Callithrix jacchus: one gene and its partner. The protein of the gene in region 1 interacts with the protein of each later gene in a pairwise test. Links are inferred from orthologs where the notes say so. Each region holds a gene or a part of one and is shown on either strand. Other genes may lie near its edges.

Evidence for each region.
Region 2: the proteins of CSDE1 (region 1) and HID1 interact in binary tests that used the Homo sapiens proteins (3 or more experiments, as listed by UniProt). The two-hybrid records come from large-scale screens. The link is inferred for Callithrix jacchus from reciprocal best matches to the Homo sapiens genes CSDE1 and HID1.

Annotation. Positions count from the first base shown.
Region 1 is NC_133508.1:152,718,157-152,725,461, forward strand, and holds part of CSDE1 (cold shock domain-containing protein E1), read right to left. Parts: intron 5,427-7,305; 5' UTR 5,418-5,426; coding exon 5,280-5,417; intron 3,670-5,279; coding exon 3,471-3,669; intron 2,179-3,470; coding exon 2,069-2,178; intron 1,669-2,068; coding exon 1,576-1,668; intron 965-1,575; coding exon 867-964; intron 1-866. UniProt on the Homo sapiens protein: RNA-binding protein involved in translationally coupled mRNA turnover.
Region 2 is NC_133506.1:130,879,955-130,886,522, forward strand, and holds the end of HID1 (protein HID1), read right to left. Parts: intron 5,966-6,568; coding exon 5,801-5,965; intron 4,314-5,800; coding exon 4,086-4,313; intron 3,697-4,085; coding exon 3,590-3,696; intron 3,138-3,589; coding exon 3,057-3,137; intron 2,116-3,056; coding exon 2,024-2,115; intron 1,859-2,023; coding exon 1,700-1,858; intron 1,449-1,699; coding exon 1,385-1,448; 3' UTR 241-1,384; downstream 1-240. UniProt on the Homo sapiens protein: May play an important role in the development of cancers in a broad range of tissues.

The DNA of each region.
Region 1 (7,305 bases):
ACTTACCAGGTAGGGCTGTTCTGAGGATTAACAACTATATAAATTCAGGCCTTCAGACTGTAATTTGGTATCTCTACCCAGATATATCAAAAACATCTGAACATTCAAAAACTGCCAAAGTAAGTATGGTTCTTTTCCCACCTTCAACTTTCTCCATTTGTCTCCTTAGACCAATTTATGGTCTGTCCAGTAGACCAGGCCAGAAAAACAGTATTTGGGACTCATCTGAATTCCAATCCCACCTTTATCTAAACCAATTAAGATTGATGATTCTATCTTCTCAATGTGACCTGACTCCTCCACCCCATCCTCTGAATCTATCCATATTAGGCATTCACCTTTCATTTTAACTGTCACATCACTGACTCTTGTCAACAGCATCCCCATTTTTCAAAAGTCTATCACTTCTACCACCTCCAAAGATCTAAATCAATCATACTTCCTTGTTTTAAATACTTCAAAGATTCCTAGAATTGTGGAAGAATACTTAACCTTAACTTTCTGGTCAATTCAATCAAATTTTTGGCCATTTCCCCGAAACATGACATGATACTACTTCTATCCATAATGGTTTTTTCCCTCTCTCTAGTGACTATATCCTTCCCTCAAAACACTATTTTTTGAAAAACCTTCATGATCTCTAGAACAAGTCCTTGAAAACCCTGACAATGTTTTAATTATCTTCCTATTTCCGACACTGCATCATAGCTGTAATAATCATAGATCCCAAATCACTAGCTGATAAATTAAAAGTTCATGAAAACCATCCAAACTTACAAGTCAGGACTTCAAATTTCTTAATGGAAAACAAAACAAAAACAAAAAACACTTAAGTGAGGAAATTAAAATAAAAACAAAAAACTTACTGTTTATTGTTATCAATTACGAAGTTTATTTTATCTCCGGTTTCTAGCTGAACGTTTCCTTCGACATCTTCAGGGGTGTAAGTCAGATAAAACACTTCCTGTGAATTAATACATCATTATTACTATTTTGGCAGGATGCATATTAACTGTATACTGTGATTTACTTAAAAATCTCTTATACTGGCATTTTAAGCCAAATTTCTTAAATACTTTATGACAAGTAAGTTATTTTATTCATATAAACACACACTTCCCCCTCCATGGTGCTGATGACTTCTGCAAGTCCACAGCTGAGCAGCAATCCAGCGTCAAAAAGCTTACACATGTGGAAGCATTTGCCCAGAGACTGTAGTTACATTTCAAAAAAAACAATTTTATATAAAACATTCCAAATAAAAAAGCTGGCGTTAGTGCTTAAAAGAAACCAGAAAAAAGATCCCCCCCCCCCACAAAAAACGTGATTAAAAGGAACATTTTACCTTAATGTTCTAACTAAGGTCATACTTGGGCAAGCTAAGACACTTGGAAGTCCTATGGAATTTTTTCTTTTTAAATATTTTGATTATGCTGCATTTGAAGCTTCTTAGAAACCAAATTTAAAACTGATTTTAACAATTGCAGCTTACGTTTTCTATTTTGAAATTTTAAAGTACGCTTATAGATCACATGGTGGATCAGGCAAAGGTTTAAGAAAAATACACAAGTTTACCCCATTACGTTCGTAGCATACACTCCCTGTTGGACTCTGACCCGGGGCAGCTGGAGATTTACTCTCTAAGTTGTGAGGAACAGCGCACACAACCTACCAGTCAAAAAAAAAAAAATTTCCATTGCTAATCATTTCAGTAGCAGCACTGTGCAATATAAACTAAATTTTAATATCCTCTATACTATACATAGGGATGCATTTTAGTATGATCCACAAGAGGATGTCATGCTGCCAAGTTTCAAACTTACAGTACATAAACTGACTGTAAGCATTGACTTAGGGTTATATGTAAAAACCCAATTGAGTCTTGACCACATTTTTATTTCAGGTCAAGAAATGCCAGTGCTTTTGATATAATCTTAAAATAGTAATCTTTATAAACTATAGCTCTCTTTCGTGCAAACTGAGGAGATGGGGAGAATCTTCCTTTTCTAATGTGAAAGATATGCAAATGCAGGGCCCTATAAAAATACAAAGCATCAAAGTCACTAACTTGTCCATTCATTCGTTCTTCAGGAAGGATTTCTTGTTTTATCTTCACCAGTTTAACAGCAATGGGTTTCCCAGTCCGCCGGTCAGATGACACTTCGAATTCAACATCATCTAAAATAAAGAATGTGTTACGTTTGTTTCACTTATTTTTTGCAAAACGTTATCTTGCTTCCAAGCTATACTTAACACAGCATTTGAATTGCCTTAGACCAGTGGTTTTCACAGCCTGGTGCCTGGACCAGCAGCATTAACATCACCTGGGAGCTTAAAAGAAATGCAAATTCTTGGACCTCACTCAAGTCCTACTTAAAGACAAACTCTGAAGATCAAGTATGGCAATCTGTGTTTTAACAAGCCTTTCCCATCATTCTGATACACACTCATGTTTCAGAACCAGCATCTTAGACTGAGAGCCATGTCTTAACGTTAGTTTTTATGGCATCTACATACACTGCAGATGAGATAATTTAACAATCATAACCTTTGGCAAGTTTTTTTTTTTCAACTCCTGTCCCTCAGTTTTCTCATATGTAAAAGGAGAAAAATTCCAAAGAGGAGTGCCATGAGGATTAACCAAAACAATGCTCATATAGATGCATCTTGTTAGCTAGTATGCTCTTTTCTCAAACATATTTTTTTTAAATGCAGAGGCCTCATAATTTCAGTCCTTTAGTAAGCCAAACAATTTGACATGTAAAAACATTTTTTTTTTTTTTTGAGACAGGGTCTCCCTGTCACCCAGGCTGGAGTGCAGTGGCATCATCTAAGTTCACTGCAACCTCTACCTCCTGGGCTCAAGCGATCCTCCCACCTCAGTCTACCAAGAAGCTGGGACTACAGGCACAAGCCACCTTGCCCGGCTAATTTTTGTAGAGATGAGGTTTTGCCATGTTGCCCAGGCTGCAAGCTGGTCTTGAACTACTTAGCTCAAGGAATCCGCCTGCCCTCGCCTCCTAAAATGCTGGGAATACAGGCTTGAGATACAATGCCACGCCTGTGAAAATAATTTGTATGGTATCAGCCAAGATGAATTTCCATATAATCTAAGACGTGACATTCTAAGAATTACTCTTTTCAGGTACTACCAAAAATAGTACCTGATAAAATAACATAAACAACATTATAGAAGTTCAATACTCCTACTGGCTTAAAATATTACAGGTAAACAGTCATTATTAGGGGAAACAACAATGAAATCTTCCAAGCATTTTATTGTAAATATATGCAAAGACATCTTTTAAGGATTCTGCTGGTTTATACAGATATTCTTCAGTAAACAGTACAACTAAAAGTCCAAAATGTTATTTACATAAAACACTTTTTTTGAAAAACATTCATGATCAAGTTAATATGCAAGACAAATTTTGTGATTACATTTTTACAAAGGAGAACTGACAAATTACCTCCTACTTTTAAGTCTTGTAGGTTGCCATTATACTGTGAACAGTGGAAGAAAAGTCTAGCTTGACGTTCTGAACACTGAATAAATCCATAAGAGGTTAACAGTTTTTCAATAACCCCAGTTTCACGCAGTGCTGCTGAAGTACCATTAGGGTACCCATTATGTCCATTGTTGTGGAGAAGGTTTGGATCAAAGCTCATCTGTTTTAAAAAGAAAAAGAATATATACAGATCTAGACATTATCTCCATAGCATATTAAGTCTTTAGTAAGTCACTAAATCTTCTATACAAAAAGGGGGGAAAAAAAAGAAAAAGGAAGATTATGGACTTTTATTACTGCAACATTTATTTAGCTAATAAAACATTTCAGAGAAAACAAGTTATACTGGGGAAGTGCCCCCATTTATGGTAGAATTTCCACTTACCAAATAAAAATAGAATTTCTGGGGTTTAATATTAAGGTATAGCAACTACTGCCTTTACATGAACTGAAAATTACTAAAACAATTTCAGAACAAAGGCAATTAACATTAAGAGACAGCAACCACAAACTACCAGACTCTTCCTTAAATGATTTGGTAACACCTACTTTGAAACTCCAGCTGATACCTTAATATTTAGTAAGTCATGCACTTGGAAGGCACATCTAAAGTTAGTAGAGATTAACAAAATAAACTTTCTATGCAATGCAATATTTAAACTAGAAAACTTCAGAGTAATTCATGCTTAGGTCCTTTAATAAAAGACTATCCAAAATAGTGCATTAGAAAACTTTTGAGACAAAACTCCAAGACAGCAAAAGCATTTTCATTTTTAAAATGCTGAATCATTTCACAGGCACATTAAAAGAAATCTTTACCTGAAAGAAATCCTTCACTTTTCACAAAGATGATGAAAACTGTAACTATCATTTCTTTCCCATTTAGCAAAATAGGAGCTATTTAAAAGTAATATAATGGAACCTGCCAGTCATAAAATACTATCACATCAGATGTTTCATTTTGCCTTATTTGAGTAAAACAACAAAACAAACTATAACTGAAGGACAAAATAAAATAGGACAAAATCCTTAGCAAAGCCTAGGTCTGTAACCACAGTAATGGCACTTCCAAATTATTACAATTATGTTTTAGGCCCTTTCATTGAAAATCTGATTTATAAGTATTTCCATTTAAGTGGATGTTGGGAATTATTAATAAAAAGGATGTATTTTCATTAGGAAAAAAGTAAAATTCTAGAAAGACAAACCAAAGTACGAGTCAACAATGTGTGTGGATAGTCAAATCATGTTAAATCAAAGCCACCACACCTGGAGGTAATTAAGTTCTAATTCTTTCACACTAGTCACCGTTCTGTGTTTGACATATATTAGCTCACCTAACTTTCACAAAAGCCCACAAGAAAGTATTAGCCTCATATTACCAATGAGAAAACAGACAGAGAAGTTAAATGACTTGCCAAAATCAAACAGCAGAATAAAACCAAGAAGGTCTGGCTCTAAACCAGAGCTTCTCAAATGAAGTTAACCAGCACTCTGGTTAAAATACAAAATCAGACTCTGGGCGTGGGGATTTTCCATCTCTATTAAGATCCAAGATGGTAACAATGCTTCCGATTCTTAGACATACCTTGAGCAGCAACACCCTAAACTACTGAAGTTATCTTCAGTACAGAGACTGAAGGTGAAAAAAAACATGAGGGAAGTTAGAGAGTGAGTCTGCAGGACATTTCAACCAGAATGAGTGGCAATCCTAGGTCATGCTCTTAACACAAAACAAGATAAGCTGAGATGGCTGCTTTCCTGACTTACAGATCTCTGATAAGTTGGGGTCCTCTTTTGTTTTTTAGTCCCAGATGAGGTAGAAGATGAAGATAAGGGTAAAGAAAGTGAAGGAGGGGCTGCAGGAGAGGGGTGAGGATCTGATGACACAGTAAAAACGTTCTCCATCTCACACAGCTGTTGTAACACAGTATAATGTTGATAAACACGATCAATAACAATTTAATGCACATTTGACAGTCAACCTTTACACATTTTTAGCTCAGGCTTAGCAAAATATAATTAATTAGATTTCTATTGACAGAAAATATAGAGCATTAACATTACTAAAAAAGGTGAAATGTATTTTTTTAAAGCCCTTAAAACATATGATGACATCTACAATTCTGAAAATGCCAGAAGGACTCTGATAGTTGTTAGAATAAGACTAGTCAGTCAAATTTCTTTTCAATGCCCAGCAAAACTTTAAATAGAACCTATCATTTTCAGTCACTAGTTTCCCCAAAGTAGAGTATACACAGATAATCCAATGGGGTGTGGAAGAAAATAATTGGAATGATTTTTCTGCCCATAAATAAAAATGAGCTTTTATAAATATTTACTACGTATTTATAGTCTAGGTCTCACCGAGTTGGTATGTCAGATGGTCTACAAGTATCATATACTATTCAAGTATTCTGAGGGAAGAGTAGAGAACTCTATAAGAGGACGACAGTGAAGTCCTCACTCATTTGCTCTTAGCATATTACAGTATGCTCAATAAGGAGATATACACTAGATATACAAATTTAGTTATCTAGTGTAACTAAACTACCTCCACAAATACATAAATGAGGCCAGGCGTGATGGCACACACCTGTAATCCCAGCACAAGGAGGCTAAGGTGGGCAGATCGCTTGAAGTCAGGAGTTTGAGACTGGCCTGACCAACATGGTAAAACCCTGTCTCTACTAGAAATACAAAAATTAGCCAAGCATGGTGGCATGAGCCTGTAGTCCCAGCTATTGAGGAGGTAGAGGCAAGAGAATTGCTTGAACCCAGGAGGGAGAGGCTGCAGTCAGCCAAAATTGTGCCACTCGACTCCAGCCTGGGTAACACACAGCAAGGCTTCGTTCCAGAACAACAAAACCAAACAGACAAAATGGTTGAAAGATTCTTGCAGAAGAACCTCAGATGGAAGATAAGGCAAACAAATATAAACAGCATAGGAACTGACATTTCTATTCCTAGTACTAGTTCTTCAACCTTCACATTAAGGAAGAAACCAGCTAATGAAATATGATAAGTATGCCAAAAAGTTAAAATCAAGACTATGATACGGATTTACATTAGATGAGATACAACATACTACATGTAGATTTACCTGATATTAATTCATTTATAAAGCTTTTTAAAAATGAAACACTTAAAAACCAGCAATCCAGAATGTAGTATTTCTAGGGAGAACAGAACATTTCTGCACAAGTAAACTATTTTTCTAATATCCCTCACTTCATATTTCTCCTCATTTGTACCACTGTTTTACAATGCAGACAGAATTATAATTGCACAATTTATAAATATATACACATATTACTAACGTATGGTTTTAACAAGCAGTATAAAACTGAGAACCATTATTCTAGATCACTGAATGACTTTCAAGTTGTGCTTCTTTCATGTTTATTTATTTCTGAGACCAAGTCTCGCTCTGTCACCCAGGGCATATTTATTTATTTTTGAGACAGAGTCTCACCTTGTAGCCCAAGCTCACTGCAACCTCTGTTTCCCAGGTTCCAGTAGATCCCCCTGCCTGAGCCTCCCAAGTAGCTGGGACTACAGGTATGCACCACCACACCCAGCTAATTTTCTATTTTAAGTACAGACAGGTTTCACGATGTTGGCCAGGCTGTTCTTGAACTCCTGCCCTCAAGTGATCACCCCCTTGGCCTCCCAAAGTAATGGGATTACAGGCATGAGCCACACTGCACCTAGCCTCATGTTTATAGTTCTGATTACTACTTAAACAAAAACACAATGACATGATCTGAAATCTAATATCCCTGAAAGCTGCAAA
Region 2 (6,568 bases), on another chromosome or scaffold:
GGCAACCACAGGCCCTCCCAGCGCTGTCTCAGTGGCCTTTCCAGTGGGCTCTTTCTCTGGGTGGCAACAGCCCAGGGGCCCAAACCCTAGGTGACAGGGTCTAATCCTGCTTTCTCACCCAAGAAAATGAAAAATGCTGGTTCCCAGTCGTGCACTGGGGGCCCCCTGGGGTGCAGAGTCCCCAGCTCCCCTGAAGACAAGAGCCATGCCTGGCCCCGCGCCTCAACCACAGAGTCAGAGTGTGGAGTGGGAGGTTTTATTGTAAAGAGGCCGATTGTACAGAGCAAAGATTGTTCTGACACAGGGGTTGGGGGGCAGGACCCAGAGGTCTGAGCCAGGGTGCAGGATGAGGAGTGGCATCGCCCCATCCACAGTGGGCAGGGCAGGGAGGACTAAACGGCTGCCCCCAGTTCTCTTCCCTGCCCCCTATTACTGGGTAAGAGAGATCCAGGAGAATACAGCAGAAGCCCCTCACCACCCAACACCACACGCCAAGGGTACTGGAGGTGCCCCAGCCTGGCTTTTGCGGTCAGCCAGCTCCAAGCCTCCTTGAGGAGCAGCCTGGCCACATCTCTTTCCCCTGGAGCCTGGAACAGCCGGCTCAAGCACCCCTCACCCTGCCCAGGCCCCTCAAGGGACAGCCCATGGTTCGTTGGTCAAACCCCTAGGGCACAGTGACCCAGTGGCTTCTGCCTCTGGGGCTGGGCAGCATAGGAATGGGAGCACACTAGGTGGGAGCGCACTGAGGGACAGCGCTGAGCCAGTTCTTGAAGAGGGAGTCCGGGCCAGGTGTGGTGGCTCACGCCTGTAATCCAAGCACTTTGGAGGCCAAGGCGGGCAGATCACCTGAGGTCGGGAGTTCAAGACCAGCCTGACCAACATGGTGAAACCCCGTCTCTACTAAAAATACAAAAACTTAGCTGGGCATGGTGGCTCGTGCCTGTAATTCCAGCTACTCGGGAGGCTGAGGCAGGAGCATTGCCTGATCCCAGGAGGCGGAGGTTGCGGTGAGCTGAGATTGCGCCATTGCACTCCAGCCTGGGTAATGAGCAAAACTCCGTCTCAAAAAAAAAAAAAAAAAAAAAAAAGAGGAAGGAGTCCAAGTGTTGGGAGCGTGGTCTCTGGCGGGGGCATAGCCCCAGAGATGGGGCTCCTGTGAGTCCAGCTGAGGGGATCAGAGCTGGTCCTGAGGGCTGAGGCGATCAGAGCTGGTCCACATTGTCCTGGTCACAGGAGTCTCTGGGGCCTGACACTCAGGACTCGGCCACTCTGCCTGTCCCAGGCCCTGATCGTGGTCATTTAAAGCTCAGAATGGTGGGTGGGGGAAGCCTTAGGGACCAGGGCCCCACCCTCCCCTAGACTGAGTGCCTCGCCGACTCCATCCTCACACCCGCTGTATCTCAAACAGCTTCACGTCGGTGTCATACCAGACAGGGGGGTCCACATTCCTGTGGAGGAAATGGGGGGTTACCTGGGTGCCGGGACATCTTGCAGACAAGGCACCGGGAGGAGCTGGGCGGCAGGAATGGCCAAGCCAGCCCTTTCTATCCCGGTGCCCACCCTCAAGCAGGCAAGGCAGCCTTAGTCGACTGTCTCAACGTGAAGTCCACCACAGGTGGTGGGGCCCGGAGCAGAGGTCCCTGCTGAGACCTGCTGGACAGGCTCTCAGGTGGACACCACCCCACCCCCCGGGGCCCACCTCAGATAGATGACGCCCCACATGTAGGTTCGGAACCACATGGCAGTGCCCGAGTTGGCCTGGTACTTGCGGATGAGGATGGGGTGGGGCACGGGTAGCAGCCCCACCAGAGTGCCATGTTGCAGGAACCGTAGGATCTCAGACTCATCCGTCAGGCCCCTATCGAGAGAGGGTGTCTCCAGCACACTCACACGGTCTAGGTGAGCAGAGGGATCACCCTGGAACCCCAAGACCCGTGCTTTCCATCACACGCTCACCTGAGCCTAGGTTTGCCCCGCCCAAAGCCCACCTGCCCGCGCTCTGGCCTGCTGGCACCCAACTCACTTGTCAATGCAGATCTTCTCCACCTGCGGAACCAGCACCTGCAGAAGCCTCATGATGGTCTGCAGTGGCAGCTTCGACTTCCAGGACAGGACCTGGGGACGGACCGGTTCCTGGGGCTGGGAAAGCAGCCCCCGGAGGCTGCAAGGCAAGCCTGACCCTGACCCAGCACCACGGGCTCCCCAAGGCAGAAAGTGCCCCTGCTCCCCGCAGCACAGGCCTGGCACCAAGCAGCCAGGTGTGGTGGTGCATGCCTGTAGTCCCAGCTACTCGGGGGCTGAGGTGGGAGAATTGCTTGAGCCCAGAAGATGGAGGGTGCAGTGAGCTGAGATCATGCCACTGCACTCCAGCCTGGGCAACAGAGCCTCACACACACAAAAAATGTCAGATGCCCTGTAAGAGGGCAATCCTCCCTGCCTGCCCCCATCCCCAGCTCTGAGCTCCACAGGGCAAGAAGCAAAGCTTTGTTCCCCACTGTATTCCCTGCACCCAGGTACACTGCCGGTGCTCAGTAAATGTACCAAGCAGGATCCGGGAACAGTTAATTGTTATTAATGGCAAGCACCATGGCCCTGCATTAGGCTGTGCCACGTGCCTCTCGGGAGACTGTCGCCTTTAGCCCTCACAATATCATGGTCAGGCAGGGACGGCAATTATCCCCGTTCCAGTGCAGTCAGCGTGATCTCAGGAGACACAGCAGGTGGGGATGAGATTCAGGGAAGGAAGTGGGAAAGAGTGATTTATTAAGGAAGAGAACACTGTGGGCACTGGAGCTTAATCCTGCTAGGGACTCTGGCAATCATGTAGACAGAGGAAGCAGCTGAGCCAGAGAGAGGCCAAACATGTGGGATGTCACCCAGTGGAAGGACTGACCCGGAGGCAGGCTCCTATGCCAGGGTCCTTTGATTCGGACACATAGCCATCTTCAATGAGTCTTCACTGAGCTTCCCTGGGCCAGGGAGCCCCAAGCCAGCTCCCACCCCAGTGCCATCTGCCCACACCCCAGACCCCGCTCGCCGGGCATGGGGTCCCTCACCCATTCCGGCGTTGGGCTCCACTGCCCACTGGCTGATGAGCTGGACAGTCGCCGCTGCTCCCTCCATGCCTGGCTGGACTCCTGGCCCCCAGAAAGAAACAGGGGTGAGGTATGGAGGGGGTGGGTGAGGGGTGGGGGGCAATGAGTTCTCTCTACTGGCAGCTGGAAATCCCACAAAGGAGAAGGCCCAGCCCAGCAGCCTTTGCCCCGGGCCCCAGGCCCAGCCCAACCTAGTGACAGGTTTAGGGCCAGCGGCTGACAGGGCAGGCTGGGTAAAGGCCAGCTCAGATAAGGCCGAGGGATGAGAAGTCTGAAGGCCAAGGGCTTTGCCAGGACCAGTAAACAAGGGAGGGGTCTATGAAAGGTCCCTACCCCCAAGGGAGTCAGCAGCACTGACCCTGATGCCCTGGGCACTGGGTGCTTGCCCCTCTCCTGCAGGTGACCCCAGAGCGCCCCAGCCCAGCCCCCACTGCAGAAGCCAGGGAGGAAGGGAAGGGCAGCCTCGCCCAGCTCCAGGAGTCCCCATCACCCACCCCCTTGGCCGGGCTGCCGTCCTCCGAGCTCTGCTGGGGCTCAGGCTCCAGGGACCTCAAGGTGCCATCCTCTGACACCTGGGACTTCTCAGTCAGCTTGTCAATGCCTGGGCAGGGCACAGGTGGGAGTGAAAACCCCCTTCTAGCCCTTCTTCCACCCACTTTATTTTTTATTTGTGTTTGTATTTTACCCCTGCTTCCCTCTGGAATTTCTGTTGGTTCTAGAGGCAGTATCTGATCACTGCAACGTCCTCTCCTGTGCCCACCTCTCCACAGTCTACACTTGCCCTGAGGCTCTGCCCCCAACACCAAGCTACCCATGCTAAGCCCACCCAGTACCCTCCCCATCCCTGTTGCCCAGCCCCATCCCCTCAGCTTTCCAATGCAAGACACACTCTTTGCCAGAGATGGGGGTGACACCCTGAGGTCACATCCTCATGTCTCTCCCCCAGCCACACCGGTATCCATGCTCTTCTTCCACCCACTCACACCAGACCTGGAGTGGCCACCAGGCTGGTCTTGAGAGTGCCAGGCTCTGCAGGGGCGGCAGGGCGGGAGCCCTCCATGGAGGTGCCCTCCTGTGAGCCGGTACGGGACAGGGGCTCAGGTGTCCGACGGCGCCGCTGCAGGGCCTTGTGGATGGTGGGCAGGTCCGTGGGCAGGTTGGCCAGCTGGTGGAAGACGCTGCGCTTTCGGATGATGGCATAGACCAGGTTGGAGTTGCCTGTGGGCAGGGAGCATGTCTCGCCTCAGGGAGGCCCCTCCCAATCCCCCATCCAATCGGGGTGGGCTTCCTCGAAGGGGGAGTTTGGAGGACAGAAAGGTGTCTGCCAAAGGGGTTGGGGATGGTACAGGGAGCCCAAGAGAGGGTGCTGGGCCAAGGCTGGCACTGGCTATGTGTGCCCACTATGGCTATCCCAGGATGTCAGGCCTGAGCACCCCACAACACCCCTCCCCAGTGCCCAAGACGCCCCCACAACCCAGCACTAAAGGGCTAACACCTGGCAAAGAGGGCAGGCCCCAGGACGGCAGTGTCCACACCAGGCCAGCCATTAAATATTCTGACTCTCTCCCCAAGCAAGGTGCCAGGAGGAGTCTCTGCCATCCATCCCCGCCGCTGACCTCTCCTGGCTCTGGTCCTGCCTCCTGCCATACTCCTCCACTTTCAGCTCCACATCCCACCAGCAGGGCCTTTGCACATGCTGTCTCCTCCCCCACCTTGCCCCTAGTTCTCCCTCAGAGATCACGGCAAATTTGACTGACTTTGGAAATAGCAATAATAAAAATGGATTGTTTTTCAGTTGCCAGGCGCTGTGCTAAGTGCCTTCTCGGGGTTATTTTGTTCAGTCTCCCCAACACTCTCTGAGACAGGGACTCTTAGAACCATTGTTACAAGCACCTTACATATGAGGGAACAGAGGCTCAGAGAGGTCAGATGACATGCCCCAGTCACAGGGCCAAGTGGCAAGGCTTGAAGTGACAGCCGGCAGCCAGGTGTCTGTGACACTCGGCAGATAGCTGCTGAGACACCCATCAGGGTCTCACTACTCTGCACTTCCCTTTTATCCCATTTCAGGCCGGACATGGCGGCTCATGCCTATAATCCCAGCATTTTGGGAGGCCAAGGCGGGTGGATCTTTTGAGGTCACAAGTTTGAGACCCTGACTGGCCAACTTGGTGAAATCCCACAAAGGGAAAGGTCCAGCCCAGCAGCTCATGCCCATAACCCCAACGCTTTGGGAGGCTGAGGCAGGCAGATTGCTTATCTCTACTACAAATGCAAAAAGGTAGCCAGGTGTGGTGGGGGGCATCTGTAATCCCAGCTACTTGGGGGACTGAGGCAGGAGAATCGCTTGAACCCGGGGGGTTGGAGGTTGCAGTGAGCCAAGATCGCGACACTGCACTCCAGCCTGGGCGACAGAGTGAGACACCCTCACACACACACAAAAGTCAGATGCCCTGTTAGAAGGTAATCATCTGTTTGAAGGCTCCCTGCCTGCCTGCATCCCCAGCTGTGAGCTCCACAGGGCAAGAAGCAAAGCTTTGTTCCCCACTGTATTCCCCGCACCCAGGTACACTGCCGGTGCCCAATAAATGTACCCTGAATGAAAGAACCAGGGCAGAAGGCCATCTCCTGGACTGTGCCCTCCTTAGGTAGGAAGGAGGTCCACTGGCCACCCTGATGGCCAGGGCCTCAGGCTGGTGCCTCACCATCAAACTGGTACTGGATGATGTTGTTGAAGACCTCCAGGAGGAAGAAGACCAGGTGGTGGTTCTGGGCAGCAGAGAAGAGGAACCAGGTGGTGGAGAAGGCCTCCAGCAGGTGCAGCAACTTGTTGGCAGTCACCATGGACAGGCTCTTGAGGTAGGGGGACACTGTAGGGGAGGAGCCAGCTCACTCCTGGGCACCCCCAGCCATCCCTGCACATCCTGGGTCTGAGTGACACAACATCCTCCTGTTCCCAATCCCTTCCTTCTCCCTGCAGAACCAGGAAGACCAAGGCCCGAGAGGCCGAGTCTACACTGGCCATACTCCATGTAGAGTCCTGGGAGGCAGTGAGACCCCCACCCTCACCCCTCGACCAGGAAGACAGCTGTCCTGCTTACAAAGCCATATGCATCCCACCTGTGCCAGCCGCCATTCCCACGCCAAGAGGGAGGCAGGGCACAGACAAGATCATCCCCATTTTATGGATAGGGAAACTGAGGCTCCAAGAAGGTTATAAACTTGGCCCGAGTTCCCCAGTAATGAAATGATTGGGCAGGGATACAAACTCAGGACTTTAAATCTTTCTAGAACGTCAAGCTGCCATGTCACTAGAGATGTATTCTGGGGCACACCCAGCCTGAAGTTCCCTGCTGACCTGCACACTTCCTTGTCTTGTGTCATTTTCCCTCACTAGGCTGAGGGCTCCACATGCCAGGGACCAGGGTTGTTGTGTTCACAAATGCATCCTTGGAATTGGCTCAGTTAAGATT